Lonchura striata: one gene and its partner. The protein of the gene in region 2 purifies or fractionates together with the protein of the main gene of each other region. This does not show direct contact. Links are inferred from orthologs where the notes say so. Each region holds a gene or a part of one and is shown on either strand. Other genes may lie near its edges.

Region 1 (6,739 bases), about 5.3 Mb from region 2:
GTATAGTCATGTACTAATTATCACTAATTTTTTTAAAAACTTATGTTCTTGACCAAGTTAATCACTTGGAGGAGCACAGAAACAGCAAATTTTAAAACCTTTGCAGAAACTACTACTAATGACATCAATTGTCCTTTTACTACAAGACAAACTCAGTGACTATTCCTGCTCAGCCCTCCTCAGGCTGCTTTTTAAAACATACCCCAGTTTTATGAGTTCATCCAGTCCTGAAAGCCTCATTTCTGTCATCTCCTGCCCTCCAACAGTGGAACATGTTTTCCCAGCAAGACTAAAAGGATGCTGCCTCCTCCTGCTCCTCCCTACACATCCTTAGAGATTCCTGACGTGCCTCAGATGTACAGCTTTGCTTTGTTTGAATGCCACAGGCGTGCACAACTCCTCTTCTGTGCTTCAGGCATGTGGAGGATTCCCAATCCCTCCTACTCCTGTTCCCAGCGTGACAAAGGAGCAGCTCTGAAGCCAAGCCCCAGAAGTGTTCACATAAACCCCCAACAAGGAACATGCACATGGAGTCAGGAATGTCTCACTGCTCTGATTTTAATGATCCCACTTCCACCCCAGCTGTGGGCCTTTGCCCAGCACTGTGCTAAGACCCAGCACAGAGCAGGAAAGGGTTTGTGGTCCAAAGAAACTGCAGAGCTGCAGCTGAGGAGGCAAAGGATTCCCAGGGCCCTCACCTGGGTGGGCTCTGGACACTCCAACGTCCTACAAATCCCAAGGACTGTGGCTGCTGCAACATGAGCCCACAGTGACAGCCAAACACGCTGTGACAATGGCACAGCCACCTCAGCCCTCCAGGATGCGGTTGATGAGCTTCATTTCCTCAGCAGACATGGGATTCAGGTTAAACCCTTTCAGCTCAGGTTTACCTGAGAAAACACATTGAAAACATCAGGATTTTGTCACCAAAGAAGTGCAGCAGTTCATGTTCAACTCGAGAGGGGCTGTGGGGAGGGCAGGGACAGCCCGGGAAGCTGAAGTGGGGTCACCCCAGCACAGGGTTGGAGGGGGTTTAGGATGCTGCTGGGTGGCAGCTCCACACAGAGACAAACAACGCTGCTGGGGCAGGGAGGGAACTGCAAAACCAGTGGAAAAGAGGCTGCAGGAACACATGGAACTAAGGAATCTGCTGATACACGAGTCAGCTCCCAAGCACTGAGCAGGTTCCAGCGGGAGAGTTTACCCTGAGCTTCATAGAGCCGGTTGACCTTCACCCGCAGCTCCTTCCGGAGGTTGTTTATCTCCTCATCCAGCTCTGCCTGGTCTGGGATAAGAGGAGGGAGTGAGGAGGACTGCGGTGGGCTCTGGGATGAAGGCTCAATTTCCCATGGGACACAACACAGGCACAGGGGAGTCCCACCCTGCCTGCACCACCCCCGGGGCTGAGCAGCTTCCCCGTGTGCTTCCCAAGGCACAGCTCGGGCCAGAATCAGCCTCTCGAGAGGTTCTGGGCACCTCAGAGCCCATCCCTGGGCACAAGTCCGTTAATTGAGCCAACATCTTGTTAATTACGGTGCTGATTAAATCACTTAAAGCTACACGGAGCCCTCGGGGTGAGCTCACCCTGCTGCAGCATCTCCCGGGTCTTCGCCTTCGGCAGCTCGATGAACATGCCCCCGAAACACACCATGGCCTTCTCTGCGGGAAGGGAAGGGAAGGGAAGGGAAGGGAAGGGAAGGGAAGGGAAGGGAAGGGAAGGGAAGGGAAGGGAAGGGAAGGGAAGGGAAGGGAAGGGAAGGGAAGGGAAGGGGCTGTCAGCGGAGCCCGACCCGCGGCCACGAGGTCACGGTGGGCGCAGCCCGCCCGGCCTCACCGTCGGGCTCCGGGTCCTTGTGCAGCGCCCGCAGGGCCTCGCGGTTGCGGTTCCGCTTCACGTCCAGGTCCACGATCTGCAACGGGAGCGAGAGAGGCGGGAGCGGCCGGGACTCGGGGCTACCGGCGGCGGGCCAGAGCGGGGCGGGGGAGGCCCGCCGGAGCCGGGCCGTACCTGCTGCCGTGCCGCCAGCACGTCCTCGGCCAGCTCCTCCACCTCGGCCAGGTAGCGCAGCACGAAGGCCGGGTCCCGGGCCATGGCGGGGCCGCTCCGGGTCCGCCGCCGTCCGGCTCCGGGCCGCCGCCGCGGCCGCGCGGGCGGTTCCGCGGCGGAGGCGCCGGGCTCAGCGCGCCCTCTGGCGGCCGCCGCCGGGAGCGCCGCCGGGGAGCGGCGGGACCGACGGGCCGCGAACACGCGTGGGGCGAGAGCGGCCGGGAACGGCCGTGGGCTGGCACTGGCACGGACGTGCCCGCTGCCAGCGCGGGGTCTCCTCCGTAGTGCAGACTAGCGGTGCCGCGGTTGGCTCCGCGCTGCCTCTGTGCCCGGCAGAAGGATGGAGGGCTCGGTGTGGCCGCGTGGCACCGAGCCCCGGAGTGGGGGTCTCGGCCCCGTCGCCGGCCCCCAACCCACCCCGCTCGGCACAGCCCTGAGGGACAGGGGCTGAGAGCCCTGGCCTGCCTGGTCCCTTTGTGTGTGAATTATTTATCACTTTTCACAGCCCATCCCCTCGCCCCCAGCACCGCCGTCTGTCTCCTCTTCCTCGCTGCTTTCCCAGCACGGTGCCGCTGTTGGCAGCTGGGCCCTTGGAGCATCAGGTGACCTCTCTGTCATCCCAGAAAGCAATAAAGGGCACTCAGAGAGGGGCGATTAGCTCAGGTTTCCTTTCGTGCAGCTGGTGGCTCATCTGTAGCTCAGCGTCCAGGACCTGCCATCCCCAGGGACTGGATCCAATTGTGGTCCCGGCAGCTTGACTCACCCTCAGCCAGCCCCGGTGCCCCCCAGTCTGTGTCAGGCAAGGGCTGGTCCCGGGAATGCTCTGGCAGGCGACCATATCCATCTGCTGCTCTGAACACCCCTGCCTGCAGGAAGGCAAATATATTGCCACTCAAAATCCTTTTTATCCCTTTCTTTCTGCCCCACCCAGCCATGAGCAAGAGGAGCTGCAAAAATGGGGTGTGGGAGATGCAGAGACACAGCACTGATGGTGAGGACTGGTAGACCCTCACCGTGTGCACTCTGCAGAGGGAAAGGGGCCCCCAGGAGCACACCCAGGGCTGGCGGGTAACAGGGCACATGGGTTCTCATGTCCCATGTCCCTTCTCTGGACAGAGCCTTGAAACAGCATCTCAAGTTTCTGAATGCAGCCCTGTCCCCAGCTGTCCATCTCTGCCACCATGGCTGTGCCCCCCAGCTGCTGCTTTCCTGGTGATAGTGGGGGGACCTCTGATCTGCTTTAGATCAGTGCTTCCAAGGGAGGGAGCCCCAAGAACCTGCCTGAAGCAGCAAATAGGGGCTGGGGAGAGGAGGAGCCCCAGCACTTGGGGGCCCTGGCACATGCACTTCATGAAACTCATTTGACAAGGAGCTCTGCAAAGGTGGTGACCCCACTGCTGTGGCCCCTCTGAGCTGCCAGAGATGAGGACCACAGGGGACAGGGATGGAGAGAGAAAGGCAGCAGCTGGCTGGTGGTCACCACACTTCTGTGGGCAAATAATCCCTTAAGGGAGATTACCCAGATCGGAAGATTACTGGCCCTAATCCCATAAGATCATTTGTTTCAGTTAACTGAGATCTCTGTCTGTGGCTGCATCAAATGAAGTACAGAAGCTTCAGGGGAGCAGTGGGAGCCACTGCTGGGGCACACACAGGCACTCCAGGCTGGGAATGATCCACACTCGGGTTAGATTCCTTCCTGACATCAGCCAGAAAATGTACTGGGATTGGGGCTGGATGCCAATGCTAGGAAATGCTCATTTGTCGGTGGGAGCAGCTGGCTGGAGATCTGAAAAAGCAGGAAGGAGGGAGGGCTTTCAGAGTCTGGGCAGGAGGGATGGGGATGGGGATGGGGATGGGGATGGGGATGGGGATGGGGATGGGGATGGGGATGGGGATGGGGATGGGGATGGGGATGGGGATGGGGATGGGGATGGGATGAGATGTGACATGGGAACAGGGATGGGAGCAGGCTGGCTGTGTCCTGGCAGCAGTGGAAAGAAACAGTGACTCTGGGGTTGCCAATGACAGTGCAGTGAAGACAGGGTTTTGCCAGGAATGTTGGGCTGCATGGAAGGGCAGGGGCTGCTCTCCCTGGGAAAGTGGGTTCCAGCTCAGCACAGGCATGGGGGAAGCACAGCTGAGGGATCGCCAAGCCATGGGCATCTGGAAAACGTTCTCAGGGCAGTGAGAAGTGGCTGGTGCTGCACTCTGCGGCCTCTCCCCAGCCAGCTCTGAGCCAGCCACAAATCATCATGGATTTCTCCTCCTGGAGCCAGCACCAGGGGCAGACATTCTGCTTGGAGGCTGGACTCAGACTGGAACCAGAGGTCCATTTGGACCAGTTCCCTGGGAACTGGGCACTCAGGGGAAGCAGCCACCCACCCGCTGCCGGGAGCTGCTTTGCTTTGCTGTGTGTTTTGTGGAAAGAGCAGGTTTGGTTTCATCATGTTCCTTTTTCTTCCTTGCAGCCCTTTTCTGTATGCAGCCAGAAACCCTCCCTGCCTGCTGGCAGCTGCACAGGAAGCTTCAGGGATGTTTATAAGGCTTTTTTTCTCTCTTCTTCTTTCATGTGGCTGCTGGGGCCTGTTGTTAAGATAAATCAGACTTCAAACCACGGTCTCCATGTTCTCAGGCTGTGGATCTTTAACTGCTGCTTCAGAGGGGGTGTTTCAGGGTCAGGGGAGAAAGGTGGGTCTGTCTCTCCCTGATTTCCAAGTCCCCTCTCCCTGGCGCTGTGCCCACCGTCATGGTAACGTGGTCTGTGCTCCATCACCCAGCCAAGACAGAGAGCCCCCAGGGACCAAGCCCAAAGAGGTCTGGAGTGGCCAAATATTGACAGGGGCTCTGGCCAGTGGACCCCATCCTTGGAAGGGGCCCTGCCCTGCCTGGTTATTGATGAAAGGCTGCTTTCTTCAGGCTTTGGGATGCTGGGAGCATCCCCTCCCCCAGGCAGGCATTTGTGGAGGGGATCTGTCAGGAGCATCTCAAGGTGAGGTGTTTCATTATCGATGCTAATACATGCAGCACGGGGAGAGCCTTGCCGAGGGCCCGGCCACTGCCTTGTGCTGAGTAACATCTTCACCCCCTGGATTTCATCCCAGGAATGCAGGCTTACCCCACCCCCGGTTTGTGCTGATCCCTCTGGCCATCCTACAAGGCAGGATTTGGAAGTTAGCTGTGTTTCCCGGGATCAAACACCCTCCTCCTCTCCATGTGGCACGGCGTGCTGACCACGGGCCGGGCTCCAGCCGGGCTCCTCCGCAGGCAGAGGCACCAGGCTGAGCCTCGGGGGCTGGGGGCTGGGGCTGCCTCCAGGAGGCAGCTGCTGTATGCAGTCACCCTCCCTGGAGACCCGCCACAAAGGAGAGGAAGCCCTTTCCCTCGCAGCCCTTTCCCGCCCAGCAGTGCCAGGGATGCCGGCACAGCGCTGCTCCTCCTTTGAGCTCCTGTCCCGGGGTGCGGCCCCTCGCTCTGCCCGACACCTTGTGTCCGAGCTGCCGCGGGCAGCGAGCGGAGAGGTGGAGCGCCGGAGCGGGGCAGCGTCAGGGCTCTTGTGCACCCAGACTCCAGTGGCCTTGGTACTTCACTTTCAGGGACATTCCCAAGGCTGGGGAATAACATATGTAACTCTTTCACGAGTTTCATTTCGGGAACAACGAAAGCCTACTCCCAAACCCCATCTTTGGTCTTCTCAAAGAGGATACAACTTCTTTCAGCAGCCTGGTCTAGTGGAAGATGTCCCTGCCCTTGGTAAGGCGTTGGCACAAATTGATCTTTGAGGTCCCTTCTAACCCAAACCATCCTATGATGACTCTATGAGTCTCCCTCCAAAGCAGGGCTCAGGTGCAGCCCAGCCAGTCCCTGCTGGCCTCTCTGGCTGCATCGGGCAGGGCTTTGGAGGTCTGCGGTCGTGTCTCAGCCCAAGGGGAGAAGAAGCACCCACGCCCCCACCCACCCGGACCTCGGCCCAAGCCTGGACTCACGGGCAGGGTCTTGCCTGGACTGAGCCTCGGGGCTGGGGGGTCGCGGGGCTACCCAGGAGCTTCCCGGGAAGCTCCGGTACCCGGTGGGCTGGGAAGGGGTGGTCGGACAGCACGGCCAGCGTGGTTCCGCCGGGACGGGGTGGGGCGCACCGTGCGGGGCTCGGCGGGTCCGGGCGGTTTTACCGGCGGGGACCGGGGGGTGGGGGCCGCTCGGGGGAGGGGCCGGCCGCCCTTCCCAGCGCGGGGCGGCGCCGGCGGCACCGAGCGCTCCTCCGGGACCCCGCGGCGCCGGCGGGGGGGCGGCTGCCCCTTCCGGCGGGGAGCGGCGGGACCCGCCGGGGCTCCCGGCGCCGGGCGGGGGGAGCCGGTGTCGGCGGGCGCGGGGCGAGGCCGGCGGGGGCGGGCGCTGCCGGGGCGGGCTCCATCCCTCCGGAAGTCTCTCCCGCTCCCTCCTTTCTCCTCCTTTCCCCCGACAACATGGCCGCGAAGTCGGACGGCGGCGGCGGCGGCCCGGCCGTGCTGCTGGAGAGCCCCGAGGGCGGCGGCGGGCGGCGGGAGGCGGGCGCGGAGCCGCCGGCGCGGCGGTACCGGCTGCGGGACGGGTGCTGGGTGTTCTGCGCGCTCCTCGTCTGCTTCGCGGACGGTGCCTCGGACCTGTGGCTGGCGGCCCATTACTACGTGCGGGGGCAGCGCTGGTGGTTCGGGC
Region 2 (7,622 bases):
AACATATTTGAATAAAGGTTGGAAATCCCATCAAACTCAGAGCTCCTGCCCTGGATTTAAGGGACAAGGTGTGCTTGGGAAGCTCATCAAAAACAACATCTGAACTTCCAGAGCAAAACCTTGGAGCTCATGGAAAATTACCTGAATGATTTTCATGTAGTTCACTTCAAATTAAGCAAATATCACCAAAGTAACTCCTCAGTGGGAAACAGCTTTATGTTGGGAGTGGATTTTCACTCTTAATGCCTGTAACTCCAGGAGGTTTGCTCTGGACATATCACACAATTCCTGTCTCCTTGCCTCGGATCTTTCTCCTGGTTGGGAAAAGCTTTTTTTGCTAATTTGGCTTTAAAATTTTTGTGAAATCTCTGAGTTTTCTAAATGAATACAAAATGCTGAAATGCCAAAGGAGCAGATTAACAGGGAGAGTGTCGCAGGAAGGTATTTCACAATGTGGGGAAGGCAAATTGATTGCAACTTGCAAACTCTGGTTGTTATTGCAGGGTTTGCTCGTGTTTGTTTATATACTTTTAATTCTGTGTTAATTCTTTTAATTCTCTTTCCAGCTGAGGATCTCTGAGTTTTGTAAATATTGATGGGAAAGTACAGTAATTCCCATTCTCTGGAAGAGAAACTGAAATGGTTTTGAAAATTGAGATCTCTAAGATATCCACTTTTGCTGTGAAATGAAAGCAAAAAAACCCCTTTATTCTATTTTCACTCAAATACTGGTTTTAAACATCAAACTCCTCTTCTTATGTCCCATTCTGGATGATTACTCCTCTCCAGGATGGCAGTAGCAGTGGATGAAAACTCAAATTCCACCAGCCCAGGAATCCTCCAGCTGGCCATGACTTGTGTGGGGTTATAAACATTGCCACACTCCACTACTAAAGGAGCCTCTAAATCAGTGGTTCAAGAAAATGAAGAAGATTATTGACTTAATTCAAGCAAAGATTGCTTAAAAAATAAAAATCGGGCCATCTTTCTTTGTGAAGAAACATTTATTATCTGCTTTAGATGAGCAAGCAGTGCTTCATGCACTGCATCTTCTAGAGAGGAGCTTCCAGGGGAGAATCAGGGAGAAAATGGTGAAGCAGACCAAGAAACCGAGGTCCAGGAGAAGATGCTCTGAGAGTCAGCTTGGAATTACTCAGGACTTGGCAGGTTTTGCTTTTTTTTTTCTGGAAATTAGAATCACTCACTGGGATGTTACAATTTCTTGTCTCTTTTAGCAATATTGCCCTGCCTGAGCAGGGAAGGGTTTGTGCAATAGTTACTGACCCAGGCTGAATATTTCTCTTTGAACAGAAATCTGGAAGCTTTTGTCACCTTCCATGCAGAGCTGTGGAAGGCACATTTATTTATTTTTAAAAGCAGCAGCATTTAGGAATCCCTGGAAGTGTCCCAGGCCAGGTTGGAAGGGTTTGGAGCAACCTGGGATAGAGGAAGGTGCCCCTGCCTGTGGTGGGGGGTGAAATATGATGATTTTTGAAGTCCCTTTCAACTCAAACCACTCTGTAACTCCATGAATATGTAAAATCTTGGTGAATTTTTTACCCATGAGGTAATTAATCCTCATTTCACACTTCTCACAGAAAAAAACTCTGCTGAAGAACAATAATTTACATTCTTCTTTATGTGCAGTTACACATTTAGCCTTCTGCCACGGCATTTCCATGCCTTGCCCACATGTAGTTGACACCCAAAGCAGCACTTTTGTGATGGCACTGAAAAATTCTGAGTATTTCCAGTTGTAGTGGAATTCATGGTGAGGTTGCTTTTTATTTAACACGAGGGATTTTGAAAGAATGAGGGCAGAAAGGTGAGAAAGTCTGCTTTCCTTCCCTCAGATTACAAAATAATGAAAGAAATCCTCACTGTGGGGGATTTGCCACATAAATAATTAGGAGATGTCTCTTTTTTTTTGGAAAAGATAAACACCCTTAGAAAAGGATTTTTTTTTTTTACTTCAAGCTCCATTCCCCCTGCAATGCTGGTACAAGAATGGCAGACACAAGGACCTGCACTCCACAGTAAATCCCAAATATTGTGGGAATGTCACAGCCACCTCCTTCACCACACTGGCACGACTGAAACGGGACAAATTCGTGTGGCTTTTGCTCAAAGTGGTCCCCTCCATCCTGGAGAAACAACCACTTCATCCCCATTTCCAAGTCACAAACCGTGTTGGTGTCTGAGGGTTTGGAGATCACCAAGGCCTGAGAAAGGTCTGTGGAGCTTCAGGGAGAGGGGAGAAGAATTTGGGAACTCCAAAGATTTCCATGAGGCAGGGAGAGGGGAGAAGAGTTTGGGAACTCCAGAGGTCTCCATGAGGCAGGGAGAGAGGAGAAGAATTTGGGAACTCCAAAGATTTCCATGAGGCAGGGAGAGGGGAGACAAGTTTGGGAACTCCAGAGGTCTCCATGGGGCAGGGAGAGAGGAGAAGAATTTGGGAACTCCAAAGATTTCCATGAGGCAGGGAGAGGGGAGACAAGTTTGGGAACTCCAGAGGTCTCCATGGGGCAGGGAGAGAGGAGAAGAATTTGGGAACTCCAGAGATTTCCATGAGGCAGGGAGAGAGGAGAAGAGTTTGGGAACTCCAAAGGTTTCCATGAGGCAGGGAGAGAGGAGACAAGTTTGAGAACTCCAGAGATTTCCATGAGGCAGGGAGAGGGGAGACAAGTTTGGGAACTCCAGAGGTCTCCATGAGGCAGCAAAGCATGGCAATGCATTCCCCAGCGAGCTGCCCTGCAGAAGGCTGGAGCAAGGAAGGGAAAATGTGCAAAGAGCCCCAGAGGAGCCGTGAGACGAGGGCAGGGCGTGGAAGGGATCCCAGGAGGAGAAGCCAAACAACAGCAGCAGGGAGCAGAGCAAGAAGGAGCAAGTCCTTTATGCAACGGGAGAGGAGCGAGGGCGCTGGGTTCAGCGGGTTCCTCTCCTTCCCTCCACGCTGCCTGGCTGCACTCGTGAGCTGTTTTCACTTTTATTTACATAAGAAAGGTCTGCAGTGAGTTACTCTTGGCAAGGCTCACTCCGCAGAGCCTGCCCGAGCGTGTGGGAGAATAAAAAGGATTTCTTTTCAAAGCCTTGGAGTCATCAGATTCTTGTGAAATCCACTCCTTTTCTCTTGGGGGAAGCTGCACTGGCTCCGTGTGCTGGGCAGTTCCTGCAGCTAGGGAAATACCCGCTGTGTCCTTTCCTAGCAGGAGGGGTGAGGGTTTGTTTTCTGAGGAAAAGAGAGGTTTGGAGCTGGGATTATGTTTTTATAGAAATTAATAATAAATAATGCGCTTCTCTGGGGAGAAATTTGGTGATGAACTTCTTTCCTCAGTGGGAAGCAAGGCACGGTGATTATGATGATGATGCACCAAAATAAAATGTAACATCAGCCTGAGGAGCACCCAAAATATCCTTTATTATCCTGTCTTTCCCACTGGTTTGGAACTGGAGTTGTGAAATGAGCAGCCATTCGGAACCGAAAAACAACCAAACCAGAAATCATTTTATTTCAGGCAATATTATAGAATTAAGTATCCCATCCTACTCCATCCCATCCCATTCACCCATCCCATGGATCCCATCCATATCCCACTATCCCATCCCATCATCCCATCCCATCCCAATATCCCATTATCCCATTATCCCAATATCCCATTATCCCGTGGATTCTAATATCCCAATATCCCATGGATCCCATCGCAATATCCCAGTATCCCGTTATCCCAATATCCCATGGATCCCATCCCAATATCCCAATATCCCAATATCCCAATATCCCAATATCCCAATATCCCATGGATCCCATCCCATGGATTCCAATATCCTGTTATCCTGTTATCCCACTATCCCATGGATCCAAATATCCCAATATCCCGTTATCCCAATATCCCATGGATCCCATTATCCCAATATCCCATTATCCCATGGATCCCATCCCATGGATTCCAATATCCTGTTATCCTGTTATCCCACTATCCCATGGATCCAAATATCCCAATATCCCATTATCCCAATATCCCATGGATCCCATTATCCCAATATCCCATTATCCCATGGATCCCATTATCCCATGGATTCTGTTATCCTGTTATCCCATGGATCTCATTCCATTCTCTCATTCTCCCAATATCCCAATAGTTATCCCGTTATGCCGTGGGTCCCAATATCCCAATATCCCATGGTTCCCATCCTGTTATCCCGTTATCCCAATATCCCAATATCCCAATAGTTATCCCGTTATCCTGTTATCCCGTTTTCCCAATATCCCAATAGTTATCCCGTTATCCCAATAGTTATCCCGCTATCCCAATAGTTATCCCAATAGTTATCCCGTTATCCCAATAGTTATCCCGCTATCCCAATAGTTATCCTGCTATCCCAATAGTTATCCCGTTATCCCAATAGTTATCCCGTTATCCCGTTATCCCAATAGTTATCCCAATAGTTATCCCTCTATCCCAATAGTTATCCCAATAGTTATCCCGCTATCCCAATAGTTATCCCAATAGTTATCCCGTTATCCCAATAGTTATCCCGTTATCCCAATAGTTATCCTGCTATCCCAATAGTTATCCCGTTATCCCAATAGTTATCCCGTTATCCCGTTATCCCAATAGTTATCCCGCTATCCCAATAGTTATCCCGCGATCCCGCGGGTCCCACCCGTTCCCGTCTCATGGCGCCCCCTGGCGGACCCGCACGGCGCCTGCCGCCCCTCCCACCGGGCCGTACCAAGTGCTCCGGGGGCGCCTTCGCATCCCTCCGAGCTCCGCGGCCGCTCGGGACATCCCGGCGCGCTGCCAGCGGCGCCCATAGAGACAATCCCCGATTTTCCCAGGGCCGCGGCCTTTTCCTGGAGTTTTTCCTTTTCCTCCTTCTTCTCCCCGCGCCCGCTGCCCCCCCTGTGCGCGGGTGGTTCAGCCCCGCATGGCTGCTGCAGCGCCAACATGGCCGCCACCATGAAGAAGGCGGTGAGTGGGGAGCGGGCCCGGCGGATTCGCTCCTTTCCAGCAGCATTTGCTCCCTTCCCGCAGGAATTCCATCCCTCCCGAGGCTGCTCCGCGGTGTCCCTCAGCCTCGGACGCGGCCGGGCCGAGCCGTGCCCAGAACGGCGCGGCCGCCGCTCGGGAGCTGAGGGCCCCGGGCTCGGGCGGCTCGTTTAAACAACGATGATAAACAGGGTGGACGTGAGGAGAAAATTGTTCTCTGAGAGGGTGCTTAGTTATGGAATCGTCGTCATCGTGGCTTGGGTTGGAAAGGAGCTTTAAATTAATCTCATTCCATCATTGCACCTCCTGCCATGGCAGGGACACCTCGCACTGTCCCAGGGGCTCCGAGGCCCGACCTCCCTCACAATTCTTTCCTAAATATCCCTCCTGTCTGTCAATTCGCAGCCATTCTGCTCTGCATGTCACTAACTGCTCCTGTTCATGGTGTCTCTGCAGAGAAAACTCGGAGCAGGGTGTTCAGTTCAGCCGCCAGTGGCAAGGAAACTGTTTTGCCTTTAGGATGGCAGTGTTGTAATTGGATGTTCCCCATCTAAATGTGGGTATTTCTGGTGTTCTTGAAGAGGCACTTTGAGCAATCAGGTGCATAAGCAGAGTGTGGTGTTTGCCAGATTATTTCCCATCACTTTGTAGGAGCATCCTTGCAGTGAAACTCAAATTAATATAAGGACACAAATCATCATTTTTACCTCTCCTCCTCACAGGCTGCAGAAGATGTCAATGTCACCTTCGAAGATCAACAGAAAATTAACAAGTTTGCAAGAAACACCAGCAGGATCACAGAGCTGAAAGAAGAGATAGATGTGAAAAAGGTATATTTGCTTTAGATCTCATGAGCTTTTCGTTGGATTTTCAGCTGGAACAGAGAAAATTAGCAGCAGTGAGTTACTGTGAGTTCAGGTTATGCTTGGGTTCTGATATGAGGTTTCTTATACTTTGGAAATAGAGAATGATAAGATATCATATTAATTAATAAATGCCACTAATATCAGATATTAGTGACATTTAAACCTGTATTACCCTTGCTTGGACAGTTAATTATTCCGTTAATGACAGATAATGAGTGCTGACTTGGGGTTTTTACTGGATGGAATTGCTGAATTCCAGCTCTGACTCTGATCTCGTGGATGTCCTGGTGGTGGGTGGGATTTGTCCCCGGACTCCAGCCTCTCTGGCCTCCTTACCCAGCTGTGCCCATGGAAGGGCTTTACACAGGGAGCCTCTTTCTGTGTCCTGGCAAACAGAAGCAGCTGCAGAACCTGGAGGATGCCTGTGATGACATCATGCTGCTGGATGATGAAGATTCCCACCTGATTCCCTACCAGATTGGGGATGTCTTCATCAGCCACTCCCTGGAGGAGACGCAGGAGATGCTGGAGGAGGCCAAGGTTTGTCTGGAGCAGCTGGGCTGTGCTGTGAGCTGGGCACTGGGGTGGGTCTGTGCACCCTCTGCAGCTTTCTCAGTCTGAAATTTGGTTTGGTTTAGGATTTGAACTACTCCAAAGGCACTCCAGCAGTGAATCCTGCAGCCAGACCTGGGAATGAGTTGGAAAAGAGGCACCTCTCTGCTGGTTCTGTGTTGCTGACAAGCCTGGCTCAGTTTGTTGCACAGGATTGATTTGAATTTATTTTTTTCTTTTGCAGAGGAGTTTACAGGAGGAAATTGAGGCGCTGGAATCCCGAGTGGAGTCGATCCAGAGCGTGTTGTCTGACCTCAAAGTTCAGCTCTATGCCAAGTTTGGGAATAACATAAATCTGGAGGCTGAGGACAGTTAAAGCTTTTCTAAACACAACACCCAACTTTTCCTTAGGTTATTAAATGTTTTGATAACATTGCTGCAATTATACTGAGAACAGAAAATCCATCCCTTTCTTTTTGTTGATTTGTCTTTTTTTTTTTTTACTTCCCTGTATAAAGTTCTGTACATTTAATAAGAACTTCCTTATTTTGGTTATTGCAGTTATTTATTTATTCAGGAAAGCACCGACTTCACATTGCTGGCAAAGCATCAAAATTGGAATATTTGCGTGGTTTATTAAAGCAATAAAGCCAGGCATGTATTGGAGTTTCCTGGGTTTTGTTTTCCACTCATGAAAAGGTTTAAAACAAATGGAAGGAGGGAATTTTGGAGTGGCTGTTGGCTAAAAACTGTGTGACACGGGACATGATGAGGGAATGATGCTGTCCAGGGGTTTTTAAGAGCCCTCCTGGAGCTCCTAAATTCCTCCTCTGTGTTTCACCCTCAGCTCAGGTGTCAGGAGTTTGCCAGGGGACAAACAAGGGCTCTTTAAAGCTCAGTTTTGTAGTGAGGAAAAGCTTTTGGAGCCCCCATATTCACTCATTTACTGCTTTGTATTTGGGAATCCCAAAAACTGCTGCAAGTCACAGTGGTGAGTCTTAATTTCTAATTGTCCTGAACAGCTCCTAAATCCATATTTCTGTAGCAAATTGATGTCACAGTGGTTCATAGAGTCAGCATCGAGCCCTAATCTTTGCCTCCATCACTAGGAGGAGTTGAATGTAATTTTTAAATGTCTTAATTACCTTAATTTGTCTCTATAACCAAACAAAACACAAAAGGGGGGTGATTTTTCCAGGTGAAAACTGCTGGA

The links.
Region 1: the proteins of PFDN4 (region 2) and PDRG1 purify together in Homo sapiens (co-immunoprecipitation; 3 studies listed by BioGRID and IntAct, counting the BioPlex papers as one, with this or other methods). This does not show direct contact. The link is inferred for Lonchura striata from reciprocal best matches to the Homo sapiens genes PFDN4 and PDRG1.

What each region holds. Positions count from the first base shown.
Region 1 is NC_134619.1:7,630,307-7,637,045, forward strand, and holds PDRG1 (p53 and DNA damage-regulated protein 1), read right to left. Parts: upstream 2,139-6,739; 5' UTR 2,093-2,138; coding exon 2,009-2,092; intron 1,911-2,008; coding exon 1,835-1,910; intron 1,660-1,834; coding exon 1,585-1,659; intron 1,286-1,584; coding exon 1,205-1,285; intron 891-1,204; coding exon 808-890; 3' UTR 541-807; downstream 1-540. Other genes in the region: XKR7 (XK-related protein 7), read left to right, coding at 6,511-6,739. UniProt on the Homo sapiens protein: May play a role in chaperone-mediated protein folding.
Region 2 is NC_134619.1:2,289,927-2,297,548, forward strand, and holds PFDN4 (prefoldin subunit 4), read left to right. Parts: upstream 1-4,868; 5' UTR 4,869-4,949; coding exon 4,950-4,973; intron 4,974-5,713; coding exon 5,714-5,821; intron 5,822-6,253; coding exon 6,254-6,397; intron 6,398-6,653; coding exon 6,654-6,785; 3' UTR 6,786-7,075; downstream 7,076-7,622. UniProt on the Homo sapiens protein: Binds specifically to cytosolic chaperonin (c-CPN) and transfers target proteins to it. Binds to nascent polypeptide chain and promotes folding in an environment in which there are many competing pathways for nonnative proteins.